Tamandua tetradactyla: one gene and its partners. The protein of the gene in region 3 interacts with the protein of the main gene of each other region in a biochemical or structural test. Links are inferred from orthologs where the notes say so. Each region holds a gene or a part of one and is shown on either strand. Other genes may lie near its edges.

What was found.
Region 1: the proteins of DLG4 (region 3) and CTNND2 interact in a test that uses a peptide from one of them, tested with the Homo sapiens proteins (2 studies listed by IntAct, with this or other methods). The link is inferred for Tamandua tetradactyla from reciprocal best matches to the Homo sapiens genes DLG4 and CTNND2.
Region 2: the proteins of DLG4 (region 3) and CYSLTR2 interact in a biophysical measurement, tested with the Homo sapiens proteins (2 studies listed by IntAct, with this or other methods). The link is inferred for Tamandua tetradactyla from reciprocal best matches to the Homo sapiens genes DLG4 and CYSLTR2.

What each region holds. Positions count from the first base shown.
Region 1 is NC_135335.1:60,553,874-60,564,167, forward strand, and holds the start of CTNND2 (catenin delta-2), read right to left. Parts: upstream 5,526-10,294; 5' UTR 5,423-5,525; coding exon 5,386-5,422; intron 1-5,385. UniProt on the Homo sapiens protein: Has a critical role in neuronal development, particularly in the formation and/or maintenance of dendritic spines and synapses. Involved in the regulation of Wnt signaling.
Region 2 is NC_135330.1:109,566,371-109,576,664, forward strand, and holds the start of CYSLTR2 (cysteinyl leukotriene receptor 2), read right to left. Parts: upstream 6,564-10,294; 5' UTR 5,627-6,563; intron 2,499-5,626; exon of another isoform or gene 2,293-2,498; 5' UTR 2,213-2,292; intron 1-2,212. UniProt on the Homo sapiens protein: Receptor for cysteinyl leukotrienes. The response is mediated via a G-protein that activates a phosphatidylinositol-calcium second messenger system.
Region 3 is NC_135332.1:61,083,009-61,093,302, forward strand, and holds the start of DLG4 (disks large homolog 4), read right to left. Parts: upstream 5,235-10,294; 5' UTR 4,900-5,234; coding exon 4,870-4,899; intron 233-4,869; exon of another isoform or gene 1-232. Other genes in the region: ACADVL (very long-chain specific acyl-CoA dehydrogenase, mitochondrial), read left to right, coding at 7,597-7,658, 7,730-7,805, 8,031-8,093, 8,177-8,249, 8,342-8,406, 8,484-8,654, 9,065-9,209, 9,449-9,578 and 2 more. UniProt on the Homo sapiens protein: Postsynaptic scaffolding protein that plays a critical role in synaptogenesis and synaptic plasticity by providing a platform for the postsynaptic clustering of crucial synaptic proteins.

The DNA of each region.
Region 1 (10,294 bases), on a different chromosome or scaffold from region 3:
AAATGGCACTTTTCTTAATATACATCTGTTGAATCTATTTTCTAAGGACACTTGTGGTTATCACTAAGCAAAAAAGTTCTTGAGAAAACTCCAGCCTTTTCTTATGCAGAAGAACGAATTTATTGTATTTTTAATGATAAAATTAACTTTTCCCTAACACCAAGCGCCATAAAATAACCAATCTATTTACTCAAGTATTATTCAAACATGTTGCAATTTTGACTCACTTATTTATTTAACCAATGAAAAAGTATTGACTAATAAGCCTCTTACTTTGATCGAAAAAACAGGCAGGTCTTTTATTATAACGTGCATTTTACTCTGGTAACTTATAATTGGCAGTTCCCACAACAACACATAAATTTGAATATAAATAACCGCATTTATTGTCAAAATGTTTTTCTAACTCAAGACAAATTAGTCTCTTGTTATACAGGTCACATTCTATAACAAATTCTAAAATACATTAAAGTGCTATGGACATTATTGTAACGATTATATTCATCCTCCAGCAGGAACTGAGCATAAATCAACCCAGAGGCGTTTGCACTTTTGTGTCTCCACCAAAAATATTAAGAGTGAAATGAAAGCGAAAATGACCATTTACTTTCACAAAAGGTACCAATGGACACACTTTTTTTTTAGCCTCTTTTCCCACCCAGGACTAGATTTTGATTGAGAGGGATAGATGGGTCGTCTCCTTACATAAAAAAAATTCACTGTTTAAGGTTTCTTTTTCTGCTTTGTCATGACACTATGAAAGGATTCATGCTCCATGACTTTGAACTTTGTTTAATATTTGACTTCTCAGAAAGGGATGTTCATTAACCTGACTATATTCTTTGTACAATCTTAGTCTATGTAGAAAATTTCATTATAGTCAAGTGAATAATATAACGAATACAGAATATCAAACTTTCACAATTTCCGACAATTAGATTAGAATCTTTTTTTAAATATTGTGTTAGGAGAAAAAAATTGCTTCTCTTTTAGCTTCACTATTTTACATTTTAAGAAAACGATTAGTATGTTTCAGAGTAGAAAATTTGGCCTATATTATATACAAATCTGTAGAACAAAATAACATTACAGCAGGGCCAAAGACAGTGTATCTATTTAATAGTCTTTGTTAAGGAGGAAAGTAGCCTATATAATCAATTTAATAATATAAATACGAATCATAAGTATCCATCTAATCGGTATATATGTATCTCTTGCATCTGTATAAACAACCACTGATCCTTGAAACAGTCTGTTGAGACATTCTGCCTTATAATACCTATTAAACAGATAAAGAAACTGTTAAAACACGCTGAGGATCACACAGGCAAGAGGTGACACAGCTGGGATCCATCCAAAGCCAGTGCTCTTTCCACATCTTTGCACCCACCAGAAGGAGAATCTAAAGAACATTCCATTCTAAGGTCACTCATATAGGGCAGAGCCCAACTTTTCTGTAGAAATATATTTCTGAAGATGAATGGGCAATTGATGAATAATGAGTTTCTATATATGTAATTCACTTTACAGATCACTTTTCAGGACTCTTTTTCACTGAGAAACACAGGTGAATATTTGTCTAAGATGGAAAGCTTTTAAGAAGCATTGTTTCACCTATTTGGTCATTATTTCCAATTTGTCAAAAACTAATTGATACAGAGCATAATTTCAGAATCCTAATATAGCCTAGACATTTCCTACACATCAATTAACCACAATACGGAGCTTGAAATTACACTGAAGTGGTATGTGATCAAGTGGTGGGTGTCATAACTACACATTTTGGAGTGCGGATATTATTAACGGAGCAAAAGCACAGGATGATAAAATATCGCAGTGAGTTTCCGGTGTTAGAAGTACTGTTTATGAATATAATTGGAGTCATTACACCCAAACTGGCAGTTTATTCATCAGTAGCCTGAATTGGCAGTCAATATGATAGGAACTATTTATCTATGACATGTTTAATATTTTATGTTAATATAAAAACCTGTTACTTTGGCATATAATCAGATAGACTTGAAGCTAGCAACAGGTGTCATGAACTGTTCCCACTCAAATTAACTTTCCACATGCAACCATATAACAGTGATCACACAGGCATCAAAGTGCCATGGCCCTCAGAATACCTTTGGAATATGGATTCTAAAATCTATGGTGGGAGTCAAATGAAGAATTCATTTCTGACCTGTAACTCAGCCAGCAAAGACCCACCGTACCACACCTCAGTCTGCAGAACTGTATTTAAAAATAACTGGCAGTCTACCCTTTATTATTATTATTATTAATTTATTTAACAGCGGCAGACACTGGGAAATGAACCCAGGTCTCTGGTATGGTAAGTAAGAACTCTGCCACTGAGCCACAGTTGCCTTCCCAGGAGTCTACTCATGATATGTACTCATTGTCTCAAATACGGTATTCAAGTGTCAGCCTTCCTAACCATATGGAATCATTTGAAACAGATTACACCAGGAAGACTGAAACAGAATCATCAATTCTCTACTACGAAAGTGAAAATAATGTTCACATGGGGAAACAACCAAAGACGGATGTTTCCAGGTCTGTCAGTAAACATAAAGGGAAAAATATACTTTTAGAAGTTCGAGGTGTTGTAACTGTGCTTTATTTAGTTTACCTGCCTTGTTACAACTAGCTTTATTAATCCATATAAAGTGTACCTAATGTTATGGACTACCAAATGAAATCATATTATTTTAAACAAAACTTTACTGTATTTGTGCAAAAGAACCACCTGATGAAATCACTCTGCAAAAATTCTTCAGTTCCACATAAACACAAGCCATAAGAAAGAGGACTTTGGTAAGGCACACCAGAAAATAATATGTTCTATAAAATTTTCAGAAAAGGCACAGCATCTTCACTTAGTTGCCAAAATTAATGTTATGTTTGAGAATACTTTACTGTCGTTTTTTTTAATTGTAGAGGCCATTGTGAAAGTGATGTTATGCTTAGAAATCATCTAACAAGCTATAAACTACATTGTTCAACTAATACCCATTAACTATCATTTTATTCTTATGATGAATTTTTTCATGGGGAGGAAAAACAGCTTGTATTCTCTTATGAAAGATGTGAAGTTGGTGGAAATACTGCCATTTGACAATACATGACTTTTATTACAGTGAAAATATTAGTGACATCTAAAATGAGTAGGTTCTATAATTACACAAACATACACCAAATTAAATAACTCCTTTCTGCAAGATAATAACAAATTTTTTGGAGTAACCACCCCAAGTACTCCCTACAACTGCCATTTAATCAGATACTATCTTTTGTAATCCACAGTATAATATAAAACCCACACAGACAAATCATGCAGTTTTTTCCCTTATGCCCAGAGCTACTCTCTTGATGCACACTTGGGCACACAGTACTAGGGACCAGTTTCTCAAGCATCAGTTCAAACTGAAACACCAGACCCCCCCCCAAAAAAAAAAAATCAAAAAGGAAAGTGAGAAATGCACGTCTACTTCCTCCAAGGCCTCTTTGTAAAAAGATGTTTTGTGAAAGAACAATGCATCAAGCACAACAGTGTACTCAAAGTGCTCTTGGAAAGTTCTCTGATAAGGTGAACCTAAAGTAATACTAGTCAAACTAATCACACTGGATAGTTAACTGCTCCAAAAAATGCAAGCCTCATAGACCTTGCCTGTCATTCTGCAATGCTGACTTGTTCTCAATATAATTATGCCTCCCAAATTTCAACACATAACTCTGAATGTAATCTTGCAAGACCTGAAAACCTGATAATTCACAGACTAGTAATGATGCCACTTAACGTTTTTGTCAACAACATTAACAATGGACTTGGAGGTGGAAAGATCTGTTAGCCACACACACACAAAGATATTTTACAGCAGATTAAAGCACAGAGGAGGAGGATGCCGCCTCTATTTGTAATACTTCCCATAGAACAAACACCCAAAATTATGCACAGGTTCATCCCTGTAATTTGATATGAGTCATGTCAAACACTCCGCCATGGGATTTTCAGAAGTGGCGCGGCTCTGAAGCCTTTTAAACATGCAGGTGAATCACTAACAGCAAAGAAATGGACTGGGTTGGGTTGCCGATGGGAAGATGCACAACAGGATAACTCCCAGATAGTTTCCAACATCTCCCTACTTTCATGGAAGTCACTGCGGAAAATGTCAAGCCCCTTAATTATTAGTCCCATAGTCACTAAAAGTGAAAATCTATGTGCGGCAGGCCTGCCACTGACATCCTTTATCCCAACCAACATACTTGCATGCGAGCATTAGCCACGCATTTTCATAATATCCAGAGCCAAAGCAAACCAGATCACTTCAACTGATGCACACGAAGAAGGGAGGGAAAAAAAAACACCTTAAAACCTGAAACTGTCCCTCTTTCTCTCTGCATCCTCCTATATACCCATATTTACAATGAAACGCAACTTCAGGCATCTTGGAAGTAACTCTTCTTTGCGGTAACCCATGCAAACACCCGAAACCCTGTTTGCCCACCACACAGACCTGGAAGGCTACACCACCTCAGTAGTGACAATTCAGAACGGAGGGCTGGAACCCGCCGAGCAGCAAACCGTGCAAACACATTACACGCCCGAATAAGAGGAAGGTCGGGAGAAAAGCGAAGCAGCTCTGCTTTCAGCCATTAATTACCGATCACCCAAACATCGCATCGCCTACCTCCTGTACACATGCACGGCTTTCCAAACCTGGATTCAGGCGGCGCTTTCCAGAGCCTGGCTATCTATTGTCAGGACGCAGATGCCCCCGAAACCTGTGAATCCAGCTGAAAATGCTTCCTCGGAAACCGCTAAATATAGACCAAAGGGGCTCACGGTCTGGCAAGCAGCGGGAAGCTGAAGGAACGGCCCCAGACGCATATGACTAAGTATTTCCATTTTGTTCTAGCCAAACATCGTAATGACATTGAGCATAAGGGCGAAAGCCTGGAGGGAAGTCCTCCCCACCCCCACCCCGTCTTCTCCCGTAGATTAGGGACGTCATGAATGCAACGGGTAGGTTCTGGAGCCTTGTTGGTGTTGCCCTATATACGCCTCCTCCGGGGGAGCTAGGTGGGCAGGGAGGGAGAGCACGCAGAGAAGCCACTTGGTAACCGCTCCGAGAAAGGCACTAACCCTGGACCCCGTTCCCGACCACAGCCGCCTTCCGAGAGCGGACCGGGCGCGATCGCGGTCCTCTCCCCTGGCAGGCAGGACCGCGCAGCAGCCGTCGCCGCCGCCAGCCGGCCCGGAGCCGCGAACCAACCCCCCCCCCCCCCCCGGGCGGCGGGGAGAACGACGACGACCAAGACGACGACGCCCAGGAGGAGGATACGCCTGGCCCCGCCAGCCCAGCAAAGGCAACTCACCCAACGGCGCGGCGCCCGACTGCTTCCTGGCGAACATGCACCCGCCGCCAGGGACAGCTCCTCAGTCCGGGGAAAGGCGAGCGCGCCGCCGCCCGGCTTCAGGGCAAGGTCCTGACCTTGCCCAACTGCAGCATCCTCCGCTTTTGTTGTCTGAGCGTAGCCGCGGGACAGGCGCAGCCGGCGGGCAGCAGGGGCGAGCGCCGCGGGCGAGAGGCGGCACCCGACGCGAGGGCGCGGCGCCCGGCCCCGGCCCCTCCGAGCGCGCCGAGCGCAGCGCCCCCTGCCCGGCTCCCGCGCGCTCCGAGGGCTCCGCGGGCTTCGCGGGCTCCGGGCGCCGCCGGCCGGGCTGGAGAGCAGCCGCCGCTGCCGCTGTCGCCGCCGCGCCCGGCGCTCGGCTCGGCCAGCTGCCGCCGCGGGCGCGAGCCTGGGGCCGCCGCGGGCGCCCGGCGCTGTGCGCTCGCCCAGTGCGCCCCGCGGCCCCCGCCACCTGCGCGGCTGCCGCCGCCGCCGCTGCCGCCGAGGGCGAGGCTCCTCCTCAGCCTCCACCTATGCCTCGGCGGCCGCCTCGTGCGCCCGGCTACTGAGGCAGCGTCCGCCCCGCCGCAGAAACCTGCCCTGGGTGCCGAGCATGCCCAGTGTCGCCGCGAGAGCGCGGCGCTTCGGCGTGCGCATTCCACTTCTGGTTTTCGCAACAGCAGCAGCAGCTGCAGGAGAGAAGGGAGGAGGCCCAGGGTTGGGAGAGGGCCCTGCATCCTGGGGAACGCACACCCTGGACCAGACCTGAGTGGATGCTGGGGAGGCACGCGAAAGCTGGAAGCGATCCGGGGAAGGGATGGAACCCTTCAAAGGGCCGGTTCCTTCGTTCGCTTGCAAGCCGCTGTCAGTTTATGCCGGCGGGGCCGGTGTCAGCCTGCAAACAAAAGGGCAGGGGTGGAAAGGGTTCTAGAATAGCTTCGGGTGGGGAAGCAGTCTGGACTTGCACTCTGGAGGCTGGAAGTGGAGGTTCTTTCAAATACTGTGGTTCTAGAGCAAAGAAGGCTACACATCTCTCTGAGAAGGCTGTCCAGGGTGCCTGCCCAGTGTTCCCAGGGTCTCCATAATTTTAAGATATTTTTAAGACACTAAATATATATTTTAAATGTTTTTTAAAAGTTAAGCATATGTTTTTCGGAGGGGGAGACTTTCTTAAGCAAAACCATTCTGACTGAATCTGGAATATATATCTAATTCCTGAGCAGTGACCCTTGTCCCATCTGGAACTTGAATAGATTGTAATAAGTTCCCCTCATTCTCCTGAGCTCCATTTCCTTCTTTTTCTTGGTCTTCTTCAGGACTTGGTGACTTCCTCTTCCTCCTCTTTTGACCCATTTCCCAGGTTAAAATGGAAATACCTGTTGGTCCCCATAATGATCCAGCATTGCGTTCTTCATTTTCAGATTGTTTTTCCATGTCAACTGATGGTTTTCCAGCCCATTTACCCCATGAGGACTTTTCCGTGTGCCTTTACTGTGAAAACCAGACAAGTAGAATCACCCTATTGAGAGTCTTGTTGGAAAACAAGACCCTTGGCATGCGTCAACCAAGCCCTCTGAGCCTTCACCGCGTGTTCCTCTGTTTCAAGAGTCATGACACAGCTCACCCCTGCTGCATTTACAAGACGTTGGCAGGCTGAGCTCGGCTTGTCCAGGGGCCAGGGCAAATGCTCCTAATCAAGCCGCCAGCTCATCTTCTCTGGCTGTAGATCCCAAATGGTCTGAGGCTGTGATCTTCTCCCCCACCCCCCATCCTGCTCCTTCCCAGAGCCTGTTTCTAAGACAGATTAACAGGAAATTCTAATATAAGGGATTTGGGGGCCTATGATTTTCAGTAACAATGTGCTTCTATTTTGTGTCAGAGAGATTATTCAGCAATTTTAAAAAGCACAATAATTCTGGACTATTTTCTATTGTGGTTTGGAGTAAGTTAAAATATAATTTAAAGAGTAAAGTTTTAGGTGGGCTAAATAGGTCTAATTAAATGCACAAAGCAGTAGATTAAGCATGAACTCTTGACAGCTGTGCAAATGTTCACTTTTAATCTCCTGGGGAAGGCTGGGGTTGGGGGGGTGGGCTGTAAGTGCCCATACAAACTTGACCTCACCTCCAAAAGTAGTTCTCCAGCTTGGCTGCAGGTCTTAAAGCCAGTTGGATATTAAAATCACCCTTCTTCCTTATTCGTCCTATGACACTGCAGTGCCATTTGTCAGCACATGTTGAACTGTATATTTCCTTTTAGGTCTCAGAAAGGCTGTTCAATTATGTTGAGAACTTGGTACAAGACCAATTAGCAGCACTGTGTGCATTAGGACACATTATATTTTAAAAGATGCTCTTCATTTCCACTTTGACTTTGGACAGTTTTGCATCTTTTAACTCAAAAAGTTGGAGAAGAGTTGCTCTTTGAGGGAAGGTCATTTGATTTTGGGGTTAAAATTAAAAGTAGATGTAAAGATATTACTATCCTCAGAAAATGTCTTTAATGCCTATGTAGGTTAAGAAAATAATGTCCTAAAAGTTTTTTTATTCCTTTTTGATATGAGCAATGGCAAATCCTATTTACTAAACATGAGCTGTGGGAAGGACCCATAGTTAGTGCCTTCAGACTCTTTTGGGGGTAGGGGAAGGTGGATATTTGAGGTGGCAATGATGCCGTGGGCTACTGCGATTTAATTTGCTGTGTGCCAGGCCTCACTGGAACATTTATGAGTCCTATTTTCCTAAAATAATTTGTAACTTAAGATAATATTAAATTCACAATTAAATAATATTGAAAAAAAGTAAAATGTGTAACGTTAGATTTTGGAACGACTCACTGCTGCCATCTTTTGCCTCCTGCTTCTGTTGGTTTCAGAAGAGAGAAATACCCTGAATTACCTAATTCACTGTAAGGATAGAAAGTTATTAGCTTATTCTCCTCAAATTGTAGTACTCAATGCTAAATGAAAAATACTTTTCTGTTCATTTATTAATAGGTTATGTGATACAGAAATAGCATCTAAATGCTAAATGCCTCACCTCATGATTTTTCAAATCACTTTTCAAAATCTGAAGCAACTGTAATTGTATATGGAAGTTATACTTAATTTTTAGGAATAAAATCTAATACTTCAAAATATTTATATAAGTTCATGTTTCATTTTGTAATCCAAAGTATGGCAGTTTTAGGAGAGTGATGTCCTTGTTTAAGTCAAAACTGTTTAAATATAGTTCTGTATCTTGCTGTTAATGTTCAAATAGAAAACAATATTCTTGTAATTTTTAGAGTGAATTATCCATTGATAAGTAAATGAAAATTTCTGAAATTTGTTATGCAAGTAATTATTGTTGCTGGTCAGCATTTAAATGTGGAGAATAATAAAACCTTTTTAAAATTTAAATTATCTGGAATAGTATACAGTAGTGTGAGAATAATTATACATAATATATAGAGAGATATATGTATATATTGGGGGCTAATAAGCACTATTTCACTATTTGCTTTTAATCATTAAAGATATGGCAATTGTTTAGGTGTTAGTGGAACACATTACTCTGTTTTATGGAACGTTTCAAAGTAGTTAGCCAATTTGAATTAGTTGCTTTATCAGTCAAGATCCAAACTAAATACTTTTGCTTAACCTGCCTTTTACTACTGCTCCTACTGATATGATAGTGTCATTCATTCATTCATTCATTCAACAAATGTTTATTGAGCATCTATCATGGTTCAAACACTGGACCAAGACTGGGGAACAATAGAGAACAAGGCAGATTACCTATCCTAGTGACACTGAATTATAAATTGGGATTATTGGATAAGGAAAGAAAAGGCAATACACTGAGGAACCAACCACTAGATGCCTCTACCTCCCAGAGAACTTCATTTCCTTCTCATTGTTGGCATGCTTAAGGGGGTTGATGATTCTTTCATTTGGTTTCTTTTCTTCCAATGTTTTCTCATCGTTTCTTCAGGGGATTTTTTTTTCCCGTTCCAGGCCAGAGTATGGTGGTGAGGAAATAGAACCTGAAGTTCAAAGCAAAACAAGGGCATAGAGGATGCGTTCAGTAACAGATGAAGTTTGAACAAGTCGAATGGAGACAGGAATCACACTGAATGAAGAATCAGAGACCAGGGAGAGTCTAATGAAGGCTCCTGTGTGTATCAAAGGTAACAGCCTGGCACGGAAACATCTAAATTCGGTATAGGCTAGAGTAAGAGCAAGCATGACTGATCGGAATTGGACAGTGGGTCAGAAGTCTAGGTTGACAAGCATCAATGGGTTACAAATACAGAAAGAAGGTATCGACTTGTGGAGTGTGAAGCTGGGCAGGGAATCTTACTAATATGCATTGGCAACAGTGAGAGATAAAGTTTATGCTATGATTAGATATAACAGCAATGCTTGTAGATTTGATGGGCTTCTAATGGATGTAGGTATTGACTCCCCAGATCAGGTGCCTTGAGATCTACCAACCTAAGAGAAGGAACCACTACATCAAATGACATCTAACAAGTGGAAAAAAGTGAAGGTGGGGAATGGGGGGCTGTATTAAGTCTCATCTTAACTTCCCAGGTGAAATGTAAGCCAGAATTGGATGAGCCTTGAGGACACAATGCTGAGTGAAATAAACCAGACACAAAAGGATAGATACTGTATGACTCCACTTTTATGACCATGGTAAAGGTAAAATTGGAGGTGTATAATACAGAATGTAAGGGACTTTTCAGAAAACTACAACCTCCAGATGGGTCCATGGACCAGTTAAGCCTTGAAACCTAGAGAGGCCAGCCTCACCAGAACATCAGCTAGTTCCATATTCCTACCCCATGTTCTTGACAGCCCCTTCCAACATGAAAAAGTTAGAATGGGCATAGCCCAAATACCCCTAAA
Region 2 (10,294 bases), on a different chromosome or scaffold from region 3:
AGAATTAAATAGGAGGCTTCTTTGTGGAAAGTGAAAGGAGTTGACACAATTTATTCTGGAGAAGAGCTCACCATAAAGACAAGAAGAATTCTATTTCATTCGTTTTACATTCTTATTACACAAGTAGGGCATGTTCATGATTAAAAAATGAGGTAAAATACAAATATATAAATGCGATAGAAAATGAGAAATAAGAATATAACAATTTAAATGACAAGTTTTACTACCGATCGGATACAGCTAAATTGTTGTGTATATGCTTCAATTTTTCTGCAAATATACATAAATATTTTTAACAAAAATGGGTGCATGTAATGCTGTTTTTAACCCTGCTTTCTTCTATCACTGCGCTATGATCATCTTCCGATGCCAATTAACAAACATCAATATCATTATTTAAATGGCTAAAGATGGCATAGGCTTGACAAAATTTGTTTAATCTATTTCTTGTAATAACCATGGTTAAAATTCATTTCATTATTCAGCGAAGAGGTCAAGTGCCCTGGACCCGTTCTGGTTCCACCTTGGGAAAAAGCCTAACATTTCAGGGCCTCACCTTTCCCACTTTTAAAACAAGAATTAAATCCTCCAGCTCTCAAGGCTATTATATGGATCAAATGAACCGCTATAGTCAATGTGTTTTGTAAACAGTAAAGTACTACATAAAATGTTTAAGTTCATCAAGGAAAGTGCTAAGCAGGTGTTCTCCTCCACTGAGTTGGAACAAGAAGAAATTTGATTAACATGCTCTTGATCAAATTAGTTTGAACCAAAAGAAGTACATCCATGCTGTAGGCTGGAATGCAGTACAGCCGCAGCCTACAGAAGGGTGAGAAAGATGAAAACAATTTTTGATTGAAATGTTTCAACCATTAGTCTTTCTTGTTTTAAGTGCCTCTGGTCTGTTCTCAGTTCCTCATCGGAGAACCAAGAACCCAGCTTTTGTATAAACTCTGCTTTCCTTATAGTGACATAGGGTAGAGAGAAAGTGAATGCCATGTCGCTGATGCTCCTGGAAAGCCAGGGAAAGCCACCTCCTGCCTCTAACTACAATCCTATAGCTCTTTAAATTGATCACAGGGATCTTCAAATGCTCCTTGTGTGATCCTTGCAGAAGATGGGCTTAGTTTTGATATATTTAGAACATTCTGGAAAGTCAACCTCTCTAACATCTAGCCACCAAAGCCTTGGAAACAACAACATCTCCTGAAAGCACTAGTAAATTAAAACTCCCAAGCAGATTCTCACCTCAAGAGCTTTTGTGGTTGAGATGGATGAGAGAAATTTCTAGAGTTTAACATTTCCCAGAAATTTCTCTTGGCATTTACATAAGTAGGGATTGAAAGAGAGGTTTGGATGAGTTGCCTGAAATTTTACCTCCTTTCAGGTATGTGTCAGAAACAGGAAATATTTCAAATGATTTGGGTCACCTGTTATGCGCTGGCTGTCCATTAGTTTCTGGAAAACACAAAGCTAAACTAAATGCCGGACTCATCCCCCAAAATTTAATTTTAATTATTCTGGGGGTAATTTTTTAACCTCTTTAGAATAAAGTAATTCTGGCTGAATGTGTAGGCAGAGTTGAGGTCCCAAAGGGGTAATAAGCATATTTTAAGCACCGGCTCTCACACACTCTTTCATTTTCGTGGTGCCTCTGAGAAAAACCACTGATATCTACATTCTTGAACTGAACATCCTCTCCCCATAAAACAAGATCCCAAATGGAAAAAAAATATGTATATCTTATATACAGTTTATGAAAAATAAGGAAGAGTCTATGTGATGAAAAACAGCTAAGTGGTTGGGCAAAGTGTAGTAAATCTCAATGCACGATTAAGCAGCAATTTTAAATTACGTTTATGAAAACTTCATAGCAATATGGAAGATACTTATGCTGTAATGGACAAAAACATACACATATGTACATATTGTCTGAACCCAAGTATAAAAGTCAAACTGATATTATACACACAAACACAAAAAAAATGGAAAGAAATATCCAACAATATCAATTGAAGTTTTCTCTGTTTATTATTCTTTTTTACTTTTTTGTACTTCCCAATATTTTTAAATTACCATGTACATGCTAAGAAAAAATAAATTTACAGTAGAACAAAGTGAACTTTAGTCTTCAAAAATTGCTCTTCTAACTATGACAAGCAAGGCACATTACTCAACAATAAATTACCAAGACAAAGATAAACATGCTCACCTGAGGGTTTCTTCTTTTAGCTGCCTTGTTTCTGTCTCCTCTATCTCTCCTGCCTCCTCTCCTCCAAGTAATCCAGCTTGCTTATTTAAAAGAAAAGGGAAACAACAAACTATATTTTATCAGCAGTGTCAGCCAATAGCATGAAAATAAGGAACTTTGGTCAGCACAGCATCTGTTCTTGGCAGGATGTAGTGCTGGTTTCCTTCTTGAGGAAGTCTGAGACTATCTCCAAAACCTGGATTATCCCCCACCGCTCTGACTATTGTTTTTATAGGTGCCTTACACAAAAGATCGATGGGTTCTGGATGTGCTAGAATGGGGTTTTAAAAGTGGCATCTAATTCTCATAAGTGGTTTCTATTTCCATAACAAAATAACATCAATGCCACCTTATATGGATAGAACTTTTGAGTTCTCAGAACACTTCTACCATCCACTTGCTTTTCAACTTTTGAACTAGCACACAGTGGAAAATACTGTCAAAAGCCATCAATGACGACTTCACTGCTCATTTGAAAGCTCTTTTCTGGGTACCATGAAATGTGTACACATAAACAATAGGAATTTATTAATTTACAGCTTTGATGCTAAAAGAAAGTTCATCATCTTTGGTAAAAGAAAGGCATCATCACGGAGATGCTTTCTCCCTGAAGACTATGGCATTCTGGGGCTGATGGCCCCTGATATTTGGCTCCTTTATCGCATGGCTAGGTACATAGTGGCATCTCCTCCTCTCTCCTTTCTCTTCAGAGTTCCATTATGTAGCTTCTTGCTTCTTGTGGCTTTCTTTCTGTCTGAATTTCATTCTCTTATAAAGGACTCCAGTAACAGGATTAAGACCCATCCTGATAGAGGTGGGTCACACCTTAACTGAAGGAACCTCATCAAAAGGTCCTACTTACAATAGGTTCACACCCACAGAAATGGATTCAGTGTAAGAACATATGTTTCTGGGATACATATAGCTTCAAACTACCACAGTGGTCATCTTCTTTCATTTCTTCACTGCACGGTTAACCGTGACCACTTTCTTGAAACTTTCTCTTCCTTATTTCCCTGACTTGCATCATCCTTCTTCTGCCCTTCATATTGCTTCTCTCTGCCTCTCTTTCCAAAACCCCATCTTCTACCCCTTTAATGCATTTAATGCCCTTCTACACACAGGACAGGTGAACATTGTTAGGCGAGGAAAAATTGTGTCTGTTACTGTTTTCTATTTAGAGACTAAGTATAGTTTAAGGTGATGTGTGTGGCTGCCAAGCTGACAATGGGTGGACTGTCATGGTCAGGTTCGTGTGTCAACTTGGCCAGTTGGTGGTGCCCAGTCATCTGGTTGGGCAAGCGCTGGCCTGTCTGTTGCTGTGATGACATTTCATGGACTTAAATCAAAAGCATGTTGGCTGCATCCACAGCCGATTGCAGATGCTGTGGGAATGTCTCCTGCAATGAGTGATACTTAATCTAATCACTGGAAGGCTTTTAAGGAGAATGCAGAAGAGGCAATCATTCTTTCTGCTTCAGCCAGCCAGCCTCTCCTGAGAGTTCGCTGAGGAACTTCATTGGAGCTGCCAGCTCACAGCCCACCCTACAGATCTTTTTTTACATTCCCTGCAGTTGTGTGAGACACTTTTATAAATCTTATAGATATCTCCTGCTGATTCTGTTTCTCTAGAGAACCCTAGCTAATACAATCCCTAACTACTCTTTCTCCCACTAGCCACATGCCATCAAACAAATCTCTTTTGTTCTACCTGCAAATGGTAGAACCAATCTCCATTCAAACTCTTTTCATTTTTGGAACAGAATACTGCAGTAACATCCCAACTGTCTTTCTGTTTCCACCCTGGCTGCTCTACTGTCAAGTTTTAATGAAAAAAATCAGATTATGTGGCTCCTCTGCTCAAATCCCTACAGTGACTTCCCATCATTCTCAGAATAAGAAGCCTTATCATGGTCTACAAAGACTCAGTTGGTCTCCTCCTATGTATACAACTCATCTATCACTCCTGCTAGCCAGGCAAGCTTCTTTCTGCTACACTGGGCCCCTCTGCTGAGATGCCCTTTTGCATTTATTTCCTCACTTCATTCAGGTCTCCGCTTAAATGTTGCCACCTCAGAGGGAACTTCCCTGACCTCCCTTCCTAAAAGAGCTTACACAGACAGACACACACACACGCACGCACGCACGCATGCACATGCACACATGCACTCTACCCCCCTACTTTGCTTTACTTTGCTATATAGTGCTCATCACTATCACTGCTTCACATAATATGATATATTTCTCTGCAAATTATTGGACTCCATGCAATATATTTGGCTAGAATTCTCAGACTTCTTAGAGTTCTGGCTGGACCATACCACATCCGAAACGCTGACTTCAGCCCCTGGCAAAGCCCGCAGACTGCGCCTATTTTCTTCCAACCCCTGGCTCCTTTAGGCACTATGAACTACCTCATACTTAGGCACATGGACATTTCAACCCTTACATGCAGAACGCCACCCCTGTAAATAGAACCTTTGGCTACCCCTAGAATTCGGAGCTATCCAAATCCTAGGCTCTGACACCTAAGGGAGAGGCCACACAGCCCTTGAGAACGCTTGATGTGGGAAGACTCAGGTATCCAGAGCACAGTATAGGAAGGGACGTTGGGGGGAAGGGGACACCCCTCTTAGCCCCAGACTCCCAAACCTCTGGCAGTGGGTCAGGACTGCAGGAAGCCCAGCAAAGTGTTTCTCTAAAAAATGGGCCACGCATGTGGCTCCTCATGCCCAAATCTGAGAGATGGTCTGCATGTATGGCCTGGTCACATTTCATATTAGTTGCCATTTTGCTTTCTTCCTATGCCCCAGCCAAACTGAACTATTTGCTTATTTCTGAAAATAAAAGTCACTATTTTAGGGCCTGGGAGGAACACTGAATAGTAAACAGTAAGTTTATTTGTGTAGGAAAGAAATAAGCAAATGCTTCCTCAAAAATAAAACAGGAAGTTTATGTATGCATGTATGTATTTATTTATTTTGCTTTGTTTGTTTGAAATTTGTTTCCTGAGACTGGAATAATCCTTAAAAATTATCTAGTTCCAGTTCCTTCATGATGCATAGTCAAGGGGACACAGCTAGTTAATGTCTCATTAGGCCTAGAACCAGGGTAGTGTCTGGAAAATCTCGCCAACAACCCATAACACCTGACCATCCTGCCCCTTCGCCTAACTTTTTGTCCTCTATGGGCCCAAAGGTTACAGACCCAGTGACTCTGCCAACACCCTCATCTGAGGTCTCCTCCAACCCTGGAAATCTCTGATGCTCGCAACTTGTCCCATTCCTCACCCTGGCCTGTTGCCAAGAGCCATACCTGTAGCTCCCACAAGTGCCAACAACTTTGAAATTTGGGGTAAATAAAAAGTAGATCTACCTTGCAAGCTCTGGTCCACTGCTGCTGTGAGGATGAAGAAGACAGCTCTTGGAACCATTCCATGCATGCCCCATAGCTTCCTGACAATGACCACAGCAAAGGCGGTGCTGTGATCCCATCTTCACATTACAGAGCAGGAAGTGAGGGGAATAGTTCTCCAGTGCTGCTTCTTCATGGAGCTGTGGAGATGAGGCTGGGGGCAAGGCTGCTGCTCTGAGGTTCTAATAGTTGATTAACCCAATTGAAAATCCATACTGTATGCATATGACCTTACCAATCTCATCTTTGGACAAAAGAGCTTGAAAGAAATTTCATTTCACAATAAGTCGCAGGAGGCTTTCATTCCTCTCCAATTCCCAAAGACTAATGTCCGTTTCATTAAAATAAACAAAATGAAAAAAATATTCAACTCCACATCCCCATAACTAACTCTCGCACATCAGGTTGTCCAGAAGAACATGACATTAGTTTCAAGAGTGTTAAAAGGATGCTGAGGAAAAAATCTCTTTATTTTTCTACTTCTAAATCTGTGAACATTGGGGAAAGGAAAAATCGCTTTAAGACTTTCTTTTATTTCCAGAACAGTCCATAGGAAATAACTTCACTGAAATGTAGCCATTAGAAGCATTTTCTTTGTACAACTGAGACATTATATAAAGCAATGAAATCTCATCAGATTTGCCAGGATGGAAGGAAAATGTTATGGCTTTTGAGGAGATAGGCAAAGAGTCAACGATGTTAAAAAGAAGATAATCCTGAGGGAGCACAGAAATGAATCAACAATTTATCTAATTTGACTTGGAAGTATCACACGGGAAAAAGTCCACAGAATTAGAGTTCCAGAGAAATGCAGCATACAGAAGGGAATCTGATGGACCAGGTTACTTTCAGATCTGTAATTCCTCATTGCTCCCTTCTGATTTCTTCCAGTGCCTCAATGGTGCTGTCATGAGTCCTGTCCATTGTGACCTCAAGGCTGCCCTTCAGTCTGGGCAGGTGAGGGGCGTCTTCACTCCTGACTCGGTGTCACCTACTCAAGGTGGCAGGTGGCCAGGGAAGAAAACTGAATAGAGACTCAAGAGAATCAGGTCCAGCCTCAGCCATGGCTGGTTGTGTGGCCTTGGAAGCAATTTGATGCCTTGGGGACACTTCCATGAGCTTCCTGTATGTTAAGTGTCAAAAGACTCTGGGGAAAGAGAAGGGAAGATGATTTAAAGATAAGACCAGTCCCTAAGATCAAGGGGTAAACTTAGTCTCTTTGTATAAGAATCATAGTGCCATCCCCAAAGACAACATTTTAGTGTTTTCTCTTCTTGACATTTTTCTATGCCATTGTTGGCTCATTTGTTACTTCCTTTTTCTGACATAAGTTTCCATCCTGTGCTTTTCCCATTTACACTGTAACACAAACATTTTCCCATATCGGCATAAATATTTAATGATTGAACTATATTCCATCAGGAGATGCACCGTAGTTGGGGGAGTAAACTACTTTGATGTTATTATTATTTTTTTTAATCTCTTGATGCACGATGCTTTTCCCAAATTTAGAATGATATATTGCTATGGATGGCTCTAGGTTAGTTTCAATAATAGAATGTATGAAAGGAGTTTATATAAATGAAGTTTAACACAGCTGGTGAAGGAGAGACTCGTGAGAAAAATGGCAAATGAGCTACAAAAATTAATCCTAAAGAGTGTTCTATTTTACTGGTGTAAGTCTGAGTTTGAGACCAGAATTTTAAGCTCTAAAGGATGTGGTCCCAGAGAGCAACCTCCTTTAAGGCCATACCCCAAGGGCAGGCTCAGAGCCATAGCATCCTGGGATCCCCAGGAGAGCCCACCAGGCTTTTTGTCCCAGAAGCCATGGGTAAGCAGAATCCATCCCCTCTCCAACCTCCCTGTGCATGCACTCAGGTATTTAAACAGTAGTAGCAACAACAGAGGGAAGTGATGGCCCCAGCAGGGCTGCTGCCCCTCCTCCTTTCCAATCTGTAGACACAAAGAATGACTCAGCTTGAGCACCAAACCTCAGGAACATGTAGAAAGAGAGATGTGGGGGAGGTGGGGGACAGGACAGGTGGAGGGGAGATTGGTTGGAAACAATATAACACAAGTTGAAGACCCTGAACCAGACTGCTTCCTCTGATTCCTCAATCCCTGAAGTTCTAAAGACCACCAGGCTGGCCCAAGGCCTGAGCCTGCTGGTCCTGAGATATGTTCCTTGCTTTACTTCGATTCTGCTTTCTTTGGGGCCATGTGGGGTTTCACCCCTAAAGGCTGCATAGCTTAGATTTCCCTATGGGCCCAGCTTCTGGCTAGATTTGGTCAGAAAGAACTGACAAGAGGTGGGATGATGAGGGAAGGAGGAAAGAAGTTCAGGTATTTTTTTCTCATCAGCTTTTCAGGGAACATTTCTGAGAGACAGTTGTGTCTCCTCTGGTGCCCCAGCTCTGTCAGCTGTCCCTCCAGCCTGGGTCTCATCATGGCTTGTGTTCTGCTAGTCTCTGGGCATCCCACTTTCTCCTGTTGGTCTCTCAGCTCTTTCAGCATCCGTGCAAACACTTCCTGCTTTAAACATTCAGAATGGGTTCTGTGTTCCTGCTTGGACTCTGACATCTATAATACCAAAGCCTTCGTGACCTGAGGGATGGGCTCCTCCAACGAGCTTCTCAGCTCTGTGAGGGGCTCTATGAGGAGCTCGTGTCCAACACTTTCGAATATCATGACAGTCAGCTGCTGGGCACCTCCCATCTGCCAGGCCCATGCTGGCACTTCTAAACCCATACCTCATGCAACCATTGCAAGATACATTTGATGACATCTAAATGATAAGAAGCTAAGTTTCCTCTAAATTTCAAAGATGCTAAGTAACTATGCAATTTCCAACCATTAGCAAATGTTAGGAATACAAACCACAAATGCCCTTGACACTCCAAATTCATCTTACCCCTATTAGAAAACGTTTCTTTATGAACAGGAACGATGGGTTTCCCCATCGCAGGGCTTAGCATCTGCATGATGTTCACATTCATCTGGCATCACTGTTTCCTTAGAGCATCACACTTCCCTCCATCTTAACAGCCCCGAACATGGAGGCAGCGGGAGCCTCTTAGAATGGGCATGCACAAGAGAAATGACACAAGCTAATGGCCCAAGAAGACAAGTACACGAATTGCTTTTTGCATTTAGTTTCTCAAGAATTCTTTGCAGTAGCTTTAATAGCAGGAGACTTCAGAATTCCACAATGCCCAGGAAATCGCATTATTTCATTCAAGTCATTAGGGAGATCCCAAGCACCAAAGCCAGGAGGAGCTGTCCAGACCAGACAATTCACTTTGCTTTCCACAGACAAGCCTTTAGGTTCACATTGAGGGAAGCCCAGGGGACAATTAGCACTACCTTCTGGTAAGGAGGAGGTGAGGCTGGGGAAAGAAGGGAGCTGTGCTGGGGAGACAGGTCTGGGTTCTGTTCTGGTTGGGTAAAAGGAGGTAGGTAGGCAAAGCGCTGCAGGATAGCAAACAGATGGGAAACACAGAGCCGAGAAGTCGTTCTTAAAGTGGAATTTCCCACACTCCAAGCACGTTTGTATTTATAAATTCAAGGCCCTCGTGTATATAAAAAGACTCTCTCTGTTCTGAACATGTTAAATAATTAGGAGCCTGGGAAGATGAGACCCCAGGAAATCTCATGGGGTATGTAAAGGAATCAGCTTGAAGTAATTCCGCTCTGTACTAAAAGGTAGGAAAGAATAAATGAGTTTCTCCTTTTAAGCCAGAAGCAGAATGCCTTAGGTGTCTTTGTTTTCCCATTGTCTACTCTGAGATGGCTCATACTGTGGGTTTCTCAATAAACTTATGCTGATTGCACAGAGGAATGAATGAATCTTGTCAACCTTACGAAATGTATCTATGTTCCTCCTTTCCTTCATTCTTCCTTCTATCCATTAGCCTTCTATGCTTCTATCAATAGGCATTAAGTAGAGTTGTACCAGTCCTCTTGCTGGATCCAAGGACAACTGGGCATGAGTCCTACCTTCAAGAGGTTCATTACTTAAGAGAGAGAGAGAGGCAAAAGGCCTCTCTGCAGGCAAGGCTCTGGAGAAAGAAACGGTCAGTTCTAGCACCCAGCTAACACCCCAGATGCCTCTGTGTGTATTACAGATGAATGTATATAAGCTGCAATAAGGCAATGCCTTCTAAGAATTAGAATTACAAAAAGGAGTCCCTTCCTCGATTAGCTTCAGCCCCCACTAGGGTTCACCAGTTGCCTGTGGAGCAGAAGGTGGACTTCCACCCCACACTGATGACCTGGCAGCTCTTCCAGAAGGAAAGGTAGCAGAAAAGACTTGCCAGAGGCAATGAGGGACATGAACCAGGTCTGGGAGAGAAGCAGGTGCCCCTGGTAAAGAATCCCCAGCAGAGAGAACCCAGTAGAAACTCCAGAATACTCTGCTAGGAGGTTCTGTGGACCTGAGCCTAGGGCCAGCCTGGCTCTGATTCCCAGCTCTGTGTATGTGTGCAAATGACTTATATTCTCTGAGCCTTCTTGCTCACTGTGAAATGACAATAATGATAATGTCGCCACATGGCGGAGTTGTTCTGAAAGTTGAGTTGATGACATGAAGTGTTTAGCACAGGGCCTAACAACAGGGAGTACATTGTATGA
Region 3 (10,294 bases):
AACCCAGGCTTGCACCCCCAACACAGATGGCTGTGAGGGAAAGTGGATAATGATAAGAGGGGCAACCCCCTGTGCCTGTTCGCGAGAAGTTGCAACCCAGAGACCCCGCGCCAAGCAGAGGGAAGAGCGACAGCACTTGAAGCTTACAAGACCCCTCGAGATTTGGGGGGGGTCCGGGAAGAGGGGAGGGGGGCCGGAGCCCATACCGCGGCACGTACCACGCAGAGACACATGGAGGCGAATCTGTTCCGAGCCGACATGGAGAAGGGGAAGGGGACTATGGGGAGGGGGGGTGGGTGGGATATCAAGGGTCCCGGGGTAGGGGAGGGGGAGGGGCAGAGGGGCGGGGGCTGCGGCGGCCGCGGCGAGAGGAGGCTGCGGCCGGAGGGGGGGGGGAGCGGCGCCTGCGCAGTGCGGGAGAGCGTCACGATGAGAGAGAGAAAGAGAGGGGTGAGGGGAGACCCTCCTAGCCACCAACTTCCCTGTTCCAGCTGTTTCTCAGTGGACTTCGCATCCCACAGTATACGCCTATTCCAATCCCTCTACCAATGGAGACTTTCATAAAATTTACCAATTCATTGCTCTCTTTCTTAAGGACCCCTTATTCCATGTAATCTTCCATCCCCCAAATCACCAGGCCCTTAAGAACCATTCAAAAACCTCACTGGCCCTCTCCTCACTGCTGGACTCCCAGAAGACAGTGAAGGAAGCAGGACTTTTCTCTCACTTCCTAAGAACCCCCAAGGAATCTAAACTGCTTCTCCCACCAGCCCCTCCCCCCAAACTTCCCAAAGATTGTTAAAGGGGCCAGCATGGCCTCAAATTCAAAAACATCTGTCTCCCTGCAATCCAGCCCCACCGGACAGAACAATGCTTCAAGATGTTAAGGGGCCCAGAGCCTTATGTCCTCAAATTTATAGATCCCTTAAATCATCCCTTTCTAAATAACATCTATCCCCCAATTCACTAACAGAGACCTTGAAATTAGAACAAGTATTTCCCTTGCTCTAATGTTGACATCCAAAGGAGTCCTCAAATTTGTCTGAGGACAGTCCAAATTTCTGAATTTAATGATTTTCTTATATACCAGTCCCCAACACCATCACACTCTCATTTCAGGGAATCCTTAATCTACTTTAAAGCTGACCCTGCAAATTAAATTGCAATCTCTTCAATTTATTCCCAAACCCTTAAATTAAAGGATATTTCTTTGTTCCTTCTCTTTACCTTCCAAGTTCAGATCACTCCCTTTCCTGCCTGCCTTCCCTCATTCTCATCACTGCTTCCATGACTTTGAATTCCTGATTTGCAGATGCTCCCAAACATATCTTCCCCAATCCAGCCTCAAAAAATACCCAAGTAAGACCTGGACTACAAATCACAGCGACCTTCAAATCTTCCACAACACCCCAACTCGGGTCTCTTCAGGGGCTTCCATGTTCTCCTAAACAACTGAACTTGAAAGCCTCTCTTCCAAATATTCTCCCATTGAACGCCACATTTCCAGCTCTTAAAACCCTGGGAGTGGTCTCCTCAAATTGGCTGTCTAAAATGCCCACACATAGCAGAGAGGACGACTTCCCCAGAATCTCATCCATGCGATGATTAGCATCTGTTCGATGTGCCCCCAAGATGACCCCCAATGCCCTAGTTTCATATCGGGATTGGCTTCTCCAGGGCAGTCAGAACCCAGAACCGAAGGGGCCGGACTCGAAATTCTTCCAGAAGAGAAAAATGCCCTGGTTCTCCACCAGCGGGCGCTATGGCCCATTAGGACCCTCCCCCACTCCTCATTTCCTTTTTCCCTCCATTTTCCGTTTCCCCGTTGCCTGGCAACTCAGCAATCGAGGACTTCGTTGTCGCTTAGCAACCGTCTCCCTGGAACACAGAGCTGAGGTGGGAGGGGTGCTCTGATGAAATCTGAACAGGCCTCCATCTTAGGAAAATTGAGACGTCAGATCTCCCAGATCCCGGATTCTCCTTTCCAAAGACCCCTACGCCCCCACAGTGACTTAGACACAGGCCTTCACACCCTGTCTCCCTGGGTGACACATGGGATCCACTCCACGCCCCTCCCCTGGTCATTCCCGCCCCATTTCGGTCAGGTAACCCAGCCCCCAGGCACCGCCCCTTTCCAAGGACTGTTTCCCCGCCTCCCTCGACAGCGTACGCCGGACCCCTCCCACTTGCCTACAGGAGACCACGCCTCCGTCCACTTCCCGCCCATCCGCTCTGGGGCCTCGCCCACACGGTCCCTCCGCCACGCCTCTGTCGGCCAATGAATGAGGCCGTTTGCCAAACTGCCCCGCCCCCGGCTTCTTCGCTTTGCCCAATAAGGACCACCCCGAGGGTTTAACCTCTTCGCATCCGGGGCTCTGGCCAAATACCCCTGGTCTTTTCCCCACTTTTCCCCCTCCCCCATTTGTTCTGCCCCACCCTCCGCCAGCCTCGTCCAGCCCTCAAGCCAGCCACGCAACTTCAGTCGTCGCCGGTTACCATGGCAACGGCGGCAGCAGCGCGGGGAGAAGGGGGCAGGGACGGGGGCGGAGTGGGAGAAAGAGATGCCGAGATCGAAATGCCGGTAGAAATAGAGGCAAGGAGTTAGACCCAGTGAAAGCTGTACAGGCAGAGTTTGCACAAAACATGGGCCTGGCACATAGTAGGCATCCAATATAGGTTCCCTAAATTACTGCGGCAGGAGCCTAAATATAGGCAAGGAAAGATGGAGGTCTCTCAGACAATGCTGGGAGCTCAACGACCGCAAGCAGCCTGAGCGCTCCTTACCCCACCCAGCATTTTAAGGGGGGGGCAGGAGCTGTGTGCCCCCTGCTGGCTCCCTCTGGGCTACCCTCTGCTGCCCTGGATAGAGGCTGAACCACAACTCCCAAAAGCTCCGCGAGCAGCAATCTTCTAATATTGAGGGAGCTTCTGTCTCAGTGCCTTATGGGAGTTGGAGTCCTCGCTATGGCGAGGCAGACAAGTTTTCCGGCCAAGGAATGTGGCAAGACCGGGTCTTCACGTCTCTGTAAGACCCCAAATGCAGGACCCTCTCTGCATAAGCCTTCTCCTGGGGATACCCAACCTCGCGCTCCATCAGGGAAGTAGGAATCTGTAGGGGGATGAATAAGCCCCCCTGAGGATAGCTGCCAGAGCAGGCAAGCCCCTCACCCTCACTCGTTTGTGAGTTTAAGTGTTGGAAGCAGAGCCCACAGATTCCAATGGGTTTCCTGTACACAGGGAACCAGAGCCAGAGAGCCTAAGGCCAAGGGCAGGAAACAGGAGGAGCAGAGGATCAGACAGACATCAAAGGAGGCTGGGCCAGAGCAACTGAGGAACAACGATCCACTAAAACTACCCAGAGGAGGAGGGAAGCAGCCTGATATTTGGGGGTGGCCCAGGCAGGTAGGCCACAGAATAAAGGACAAGGAAGTAACCCTGGGAGGGGTTAGGGGTTCCAGGACCAAAGGGCCTCAACCCCCTCAATCTGTTCCATCCATGCTCACACGTGCACAACGCATGTGTACACACATGTGTGAGTTTGTGGCAGGGAACATGTGTGTCCTCAGCTTCCTCCCCTGAGAAGCTGCAGTTCCCACTAAATATAACCCCCTCCCCAGCCTGTGACTCACCCGGACCCCGCCCCCCCCGGCCCCCACTTCCTGTCCCACCCCCCAGCCCCCAGCTGCCTGCCATCCGCCCAAGCTTCCCTCCACACTCCAGGCATCCAGCTCTCCAGTCCCAGAGTCTCCCAGCAAAGACCCAGGTATTCTGCATCCCACCAGAAGCTGGCTTGAGTTCCCATCCAAGATTTCCTGCCTGTCCCAGGCTCCAATCACAGGGACAACAGATTCTGGCTGCTGCCAGCCCTGCCTTCCTCCTCCTCCTTTTCACCCCGGAAACCTAGGTCATAAATCTTAGGGACCCTTACATCCAGGTGTCCTCCCCCCACCCCACCTGGGTCCCAAGCTTCAGGAGTAGCAGAAGCCTCCTCCTCCATCTGCTCTTCTCCCCTTTCAGGGGTGGATGCAGTGTGGGAGGAGATGGGGAGATTGGGTACCTGCCTGGGCCACCCCCAAATTTCACACTGTCTACCTGGTCTCCCTCCTCAAATCCCTTCTCTCGAAATCTCTCGCCTCCTCAGGAGCTGGCAACCTCAGCTGCTGCAACCTGCCACCTCCCATGGGGGTACCCCAAATCCTAGCCTCACCTAGTCCACCCTCAGGTGTTGGGCACCAGCCCTCTGACAACTCTCAACTATTCCCATACCATATGATTGAACCCCCAGATTAGCAGTTCCCTCAAATTGAGGATGTACCCCCCAAAAAATATATTTACCACAAGATGCTTGTTCTATAGCCTGAAGGCCCACCCCTTCCCTGCCAGCTGACACCCCCAAACCAGTCAGGCACTCACAATCAATAACCTTCTACCCCCACACACAAGAACCCCTCAAATTGGACAAGGAACCTGGAAACCAGTTTGGACCCCAGGAGGGAAGAAGACAACCACCTCCACTTAGCCCACCTTCCAACATAACAAGCAGGACTACCATGTGAGCCAGGCTTCTCCTTCAATAAGTCTCCCTCAAACATAGCTGGTGAACCCCCAAACCCACAAGAGCCCCCAAACCATAGAACACCCCCAAATTTCAATTCCTCTACAGGTTCAAAGGGATCACTCCAGGGGGCACCTGTGGCCAAACCCAGCCTTTTCTGAGATGTGCACCCCAAAACTAAATGATGACCCCTAAATACATTTATTTCTGATGCTCGCACTCCAGAGCCCCCAGTCCCAGATTAGGCCTGCCTGCCCCCCCACGAACTCATACCCACCCCACCCGCGTTGATGGCCCCCCTCCATCACGCTTACCTTGGTTGTCACTATACAGAGACAGTCCATGTTGGGGGGCCTGGCCGCGGCGGCGGGTAAGGGGCTCTGACTTCATCGGAGTTTCGTTCCTCCCCTCCTCAGGTTCTCACCCCTCCCCCCTCCGCACCCCACTTTTGCAGGGGGGGCCAGGATGGGGGGAGGGGTGAGAGGGGAAGGAGAGGGTTGGAAAAGGGAAGAGGAGGGGAGCGTGGGAGGGAGGGAAAGGGGGCCCTAAAAGGGGGACCCCAATGAAGGGGAGGGGGCTTGGGGAGCACACCCCGATTTTCAGGAGGGGCAGGGGCACCGGGGGCTGGCAGCCCCGGGGTTCGGGAGCTGGGGCATGAGATGGGATGGGGGAGGGGAACTGGATTTGGGGGAGCCCTGGGGGTGGGGGGGTCTTGCCTAAAGGCCAGGGGCTAAGGGCCGTGGCGGGGGAGTGGGGTGGGGGGGTTGGAGGCGGCAGCGGCTGAGGGAGCCGTGGAGCCGAGGAGGGAAGGGGAGAGAGGAGGAGAGAGGAAGCAGGGGGAGGGAGGGAGGGAGCGAGGAGCGAGATTGTGGGGGGGTGCCTTGGTAGAGTTAACTCCTTCAATGCCGGCAGGAACCCGGATAATGGGAAGGGAGATGGAAGCAGAAGCGGAGAGGCCCTGAGGCAAACATGGAGACTTGGGGCCACCAGCGCGGCAGCAAAGACAATGAAGGCGGATTTCATTTCTTAGGGGAGGAAGCACCCATGGTTGGGGCTGGGAGCACCCATGATGGAATAAATCATGGAGGGAGGCCACGGTGGGGGGTAGGGTGTGAGGGAGGGGCTGGCAGGAGGGAATCCCTGGGGAACTGCTTCTAACTTGGGGTTCCCAGAAGGAAGCCTGAAAAGTAATTATGTCCTGGACTCTCCTGTCTGAAATTGGGGCAGGCAGAGGAAAGGGAGAAGGACAGGCAAGAGCACATTCTCAGGAGTCCCCAAGCCCCTAAGCCCCTGACTCAGGGTTCCCTTATTGGGACCCCCACCCCCACCCCATCTTCAGTTAAATATTAATCCTTTCCTGACCCCTCTAATCCTGCCAGCTCCCTCTGCAAGACAGGCCACTGCCCCCTGCTGCTGCCCCCTTACCTGACTCTCTGAGATGGAGGCCTCATAATAGTCCAGGATGTCTGTCACAGGAACAGAGCTGAGTTACATCCCCCACCTGGCCTCTGCCTCTCCTGTCACCACCGCTGTCTAGAAGGCCAGAGCCCCTCCAGCAGGCTCCAGGGTCCCAACCAGCCTTTTCCACAACTAACCCCTAGAAAATTGGGGTTACTCACCCAGCAAGGCCTGGAAGAGGTCACTGTGCAGCACCGCAAGGAGTGGGGGTGCCCACCGCAATAGTGGGGGGGCCAGGAGCCACAGAGCTGATCTGGGGGCTAGAGAAATGGAGGTGAGGGAAGAATCGGGCCAGGAAGAGGTAAGCCGGAGACACTTACAGGAACACTACCCTTTGCCTTTTTACCCCAGACCCTGCAGAAAGATTCAGGACAAGAATCTGGGACTCTCAGCACCATGTTCCCCCACCTCTGCTCCCAGGCCACCCCTCCAAAGGAGCTCCGTCTTTCACCTCTTGGTCTCTCAGACATCTCTCCCTTCTCTCATTTTAATCTCCCTAATCCCCCAGGATTAAATTGAGCTGCCTTCTCTCCACCCAGTTTTAACTGTTGGGGAAAGGAGACATCTCTGACTGACTTGCCCTGCTGCTCCATCCTTCCCAGATCCCACGGCCACCCCCTTTCTCCACATTCCCTGGCCTCTTTTCCCAAATTTAGCTGCTCTCCTGTGGGGCTTGGAGAGAGAATTTCCCTACACAGAGGTTCCTGCAGCACAAAGGTAAGGAAGTTGAGCTCAGCTCTATCCTCCTGGGCCCTTTCCCCAATGGAACTGCAGAAGTGGAATATAAATTACCTGAGACTTTTTGACCCAGGGCTGGGTCAGCACACAGGGAAGTATGGGAGAGAGAGGGGATGAGTATTCCTATAGCTCTTTTCAGGCAGAAAAATCCATCTGCCCAGAGGTCTAGCCTGGACCCAATGATCCTGGAAGGAGCAGAGGGCAAAAAGAGATGGATGACCAGGAAGGCCTTAGAGGCCATAGGGGGAGGCAGTGAACACAGGGTGCTGGAGTGCCATCTATTGTGAAATTTTCGGTGCTTCGAGTGTCACTTCCTACGTCTCAAGAGGATAGTTTGAGACCCCACCCAACCATTCCCTTCCCTTTGGTTGTGGTTGAAATTGATGGATTTCTTTCGGGGCTGAAAAGTCATCTTTCCATGTGTCTGCCTCTAGAGTTCACCTTACACTTCTGTCTTTCAATTTCTCCCTTCTAATGCTACGTGGGAAGTCCTCCCTTCAGTCTACCTTCAATCCCTCTGGCTGCAGTCGCCTCAGCTCCTCCCTCTTCCGTCCCATCCTATCTCATCATCCCTCCCGAGGAGGGCTAGCCTCTCATTTGGACAGGCTGGATAAGGGAGTTTGAAGGGACAAATGACGCTTGGAGATCACTCCAGGTCAACCAGGATGCAGGGCCTGGGGGCGCTCCGGGACTACGACTCCCGGCATGCCCGGCGCCGGGAAGCCCCGCCCGCCCGCCTCCCGGTGCATTGTGGAGGATGCGTCAAGTGGAAGGGACCCGGCTGCGGGAGGCGGGGCGAAAGCGTTAGGTCAGCTCCAGGCAGCCGGGGCCTCAGCAGCGCGGAGATGCAGGGGGCAAGGATAGCCCCAAGCGTGGGGCGGCAGCTACTCCTGTTAGGAGGCGGCAGGTATGTGTATGACAGCAGGGGACGGGGAGCGGGGGGGCCCAGGGGCGGGCCTGAACTCCCATTTCCCTCAGCTCGCGGTGCAGCGCGCTCCTGGGGCAGCCCAAACCGGGCCCTGCCCTCCGACCCTACGCCAGTGGAGCCACCCAGGTGAGAGACGACGGACGTGGGAGAGAGGTGTGGGAGTCGGGATTCGCCTCGGGGCCCCACGGTCAGTAGGGCTCACCCTTTATGCCCCAGACACCTGTTCTGCAGGCTGGCACCGGAAGTAGGGGAAAGGGCAGGAGATGGAACTAGGGGAAAGGTGACCGGATCTGCCCTCCTTGACACACCGGAAGCCCCTTCCCCGACCTCGCTAACCATTCCTTTTCCCAGGCGGTTCTGGATAAGTCAGATTCCCTTCCTGAGGTACCCACCAAAGAGAAACAACTCCACACGGTATGTGTTCCAAGGCCCGTGGGAACTGAGTTGGGAAAGAGCCGTCCCACACAATTTCCTGAAACTCTCTTTTCCCTGAACAGGAATCTAAGTCCTTTGCTGTGGGGATGTTTAAGGGCCATCTCACCACGGACCAAGTGTTCCCATACCCATCTGGTAAGGGAATGGCTATTCAGAGGTGGGGAGGGGTAGGGCATTCCCCTGACAGCCCTGTCTTACCTGCATTTCCTCTTCCTGCCCTTACACAGTGCTCACTGAGGAGCAGACACAGTTTCTCAAGGAGCTTGTGGGGCCAGTGTCCCGCTTCTTCCAAGTAAGGAATGACTGAAGCTGAGGGATGGAGGGCTTAGACCCTAGGGTGTTGGGGGGCAGGGCTAAGGAATTTAAAAGGAGTCTGGATGTGGGATCCGGAGACTTCTTTCCCAGGAGGTGAATGATCCAGCCAAGAATGACGCTCTGGAGCAGGTGGAGGAGACTACTTTGCAGGGCCTTAAGGAGCTGGGGGCCTTTGGTCTGCAAGTGCCCAGTGAGTTGGGCGGTGTGGGCCTCTGCAATACCCAGGTGAGGAGAGCCCCCGAGTCACTTTCCAAACCACTCCAGCTTGGCAGTCAGCCCCTTCTTCACCTCTAGGGTTCATTCCTGACCAGACTACTGCCCCGGGAGCCTGTGGGATGCTGACTCTCCCCACCGTGCACACACATCCTCAAACTTAACACACTGACTACAGGTGCCCTTGCCTGCAGCCACAGACCCTACCCTGGTTTCCGAGTTTAAGTGAATCTGTCAGGTGGGACCACTTGGCAAAAGGAGAGCAGGAAGTCCCCCTCCCACCAAGACTGGGGTGGACACAGTGCCCTCTGTTGTGCCCTTCTCACAGTTGACCTTGCTCTCTGCATTGGCTCTGTGGGGATGGCCCAGGTTGGGCCCCACCCCAGCCCCACACCTGCCTACCCTCCCACCCACCCCCACAGTACGCGCGCCTAGTGGAGATTGTGGGAATGCATGACCTCGGCGTGGGCATCACTCTGGGGGCCCATCAGAGCATCGGTTTCAAAGGCATCCTGCTCTTTGGCACAAAGGCCCAGAAAGAAAAATACCTCCCCAAACTGGCATCTGGTGAGGCAGTCCTGGGAGACCCGGGGGCTTGGGGGTGTCCTGGGTTTGGCACCAGTTAGGCCGGCGGGTGCTGAGATTACTGGCAAAGCTGGGGACCTAAGTTGCAGGAGAGTCTGGGGTAACGAAAGGAAACTGAATATTGCCCAAGGCATTAAGGGAGACCAGTAGGAGGGGCTGGGGGACACTGAGGGGACTTCACTACCCATGATGACCCTCAGTAAATCTCTCTCCCCAACTAGGGGAGACTATCGCTGCTTTCTGCCTCACTGAGCCCTCAAGTGGATCAGATGCTGCCTCCATCCGAACCTCAGCTGTGCCAAGCCCCTGTGGAAAATACTATACCCTCAATGGAAGCAAGATTTGGATCAGGCAATCTTCCTCCCATTTCTCTCCTCTCCACCCCTCCCTGATTTCAGACCCCATAGCTCTCAATTAGCCTCACCCTGACTGCCCTCCTCATCCTTCCACAGCAACGGGGGTCTAGCCGAAATCTTCACCGTTTTTGCCAAAACACCAATTACAGATGCATCCACAGGGACCACAAAAGAGAAGATCACAGCTTTTGTGGTGGAGAGGAGCTTTGGGGGCATTACCCAGTGAGTGGATTTGGGAAGAGGTAGGGCGTGGAGGGAGGGTCCTGCTGCACTCCAGGGCTGATGACTGTTGTGTCACCCTGGGGATGTGTGCAGAAACCAAAGCAGCTTCCCTGTGGGACAAATACGTATGTAGTTGACCAAAAGCCTTGGCTCCTGGCAACCAGGGGGCCAAACACATGATGGCAGAATGCAGCCAAGCTCTGCAGCCCTTTGGGCATGTGCAGAACTATCGTTTATACCCTCTTACAGCGTGGGAACTGCGGGTCCTCCTAGGTTCAGAAGGAATGAGGGGGGCAGTTTTTTCCCTGGTGGCAATTTATGGGACACACCCCTGCTTTCTGGCCCTGACTTGTCACAGCGGGCCCCCTGAAAAGAAGATGGGCATCAAGGCCTCAAACACGGCAGAGGTGTACTTTGATGGCGTCCGGGTGCCGGCAGAGAATGTGCTGGGTGAGGTGGGGGGCGGCTTCAAGGTCGCCATGCACATTC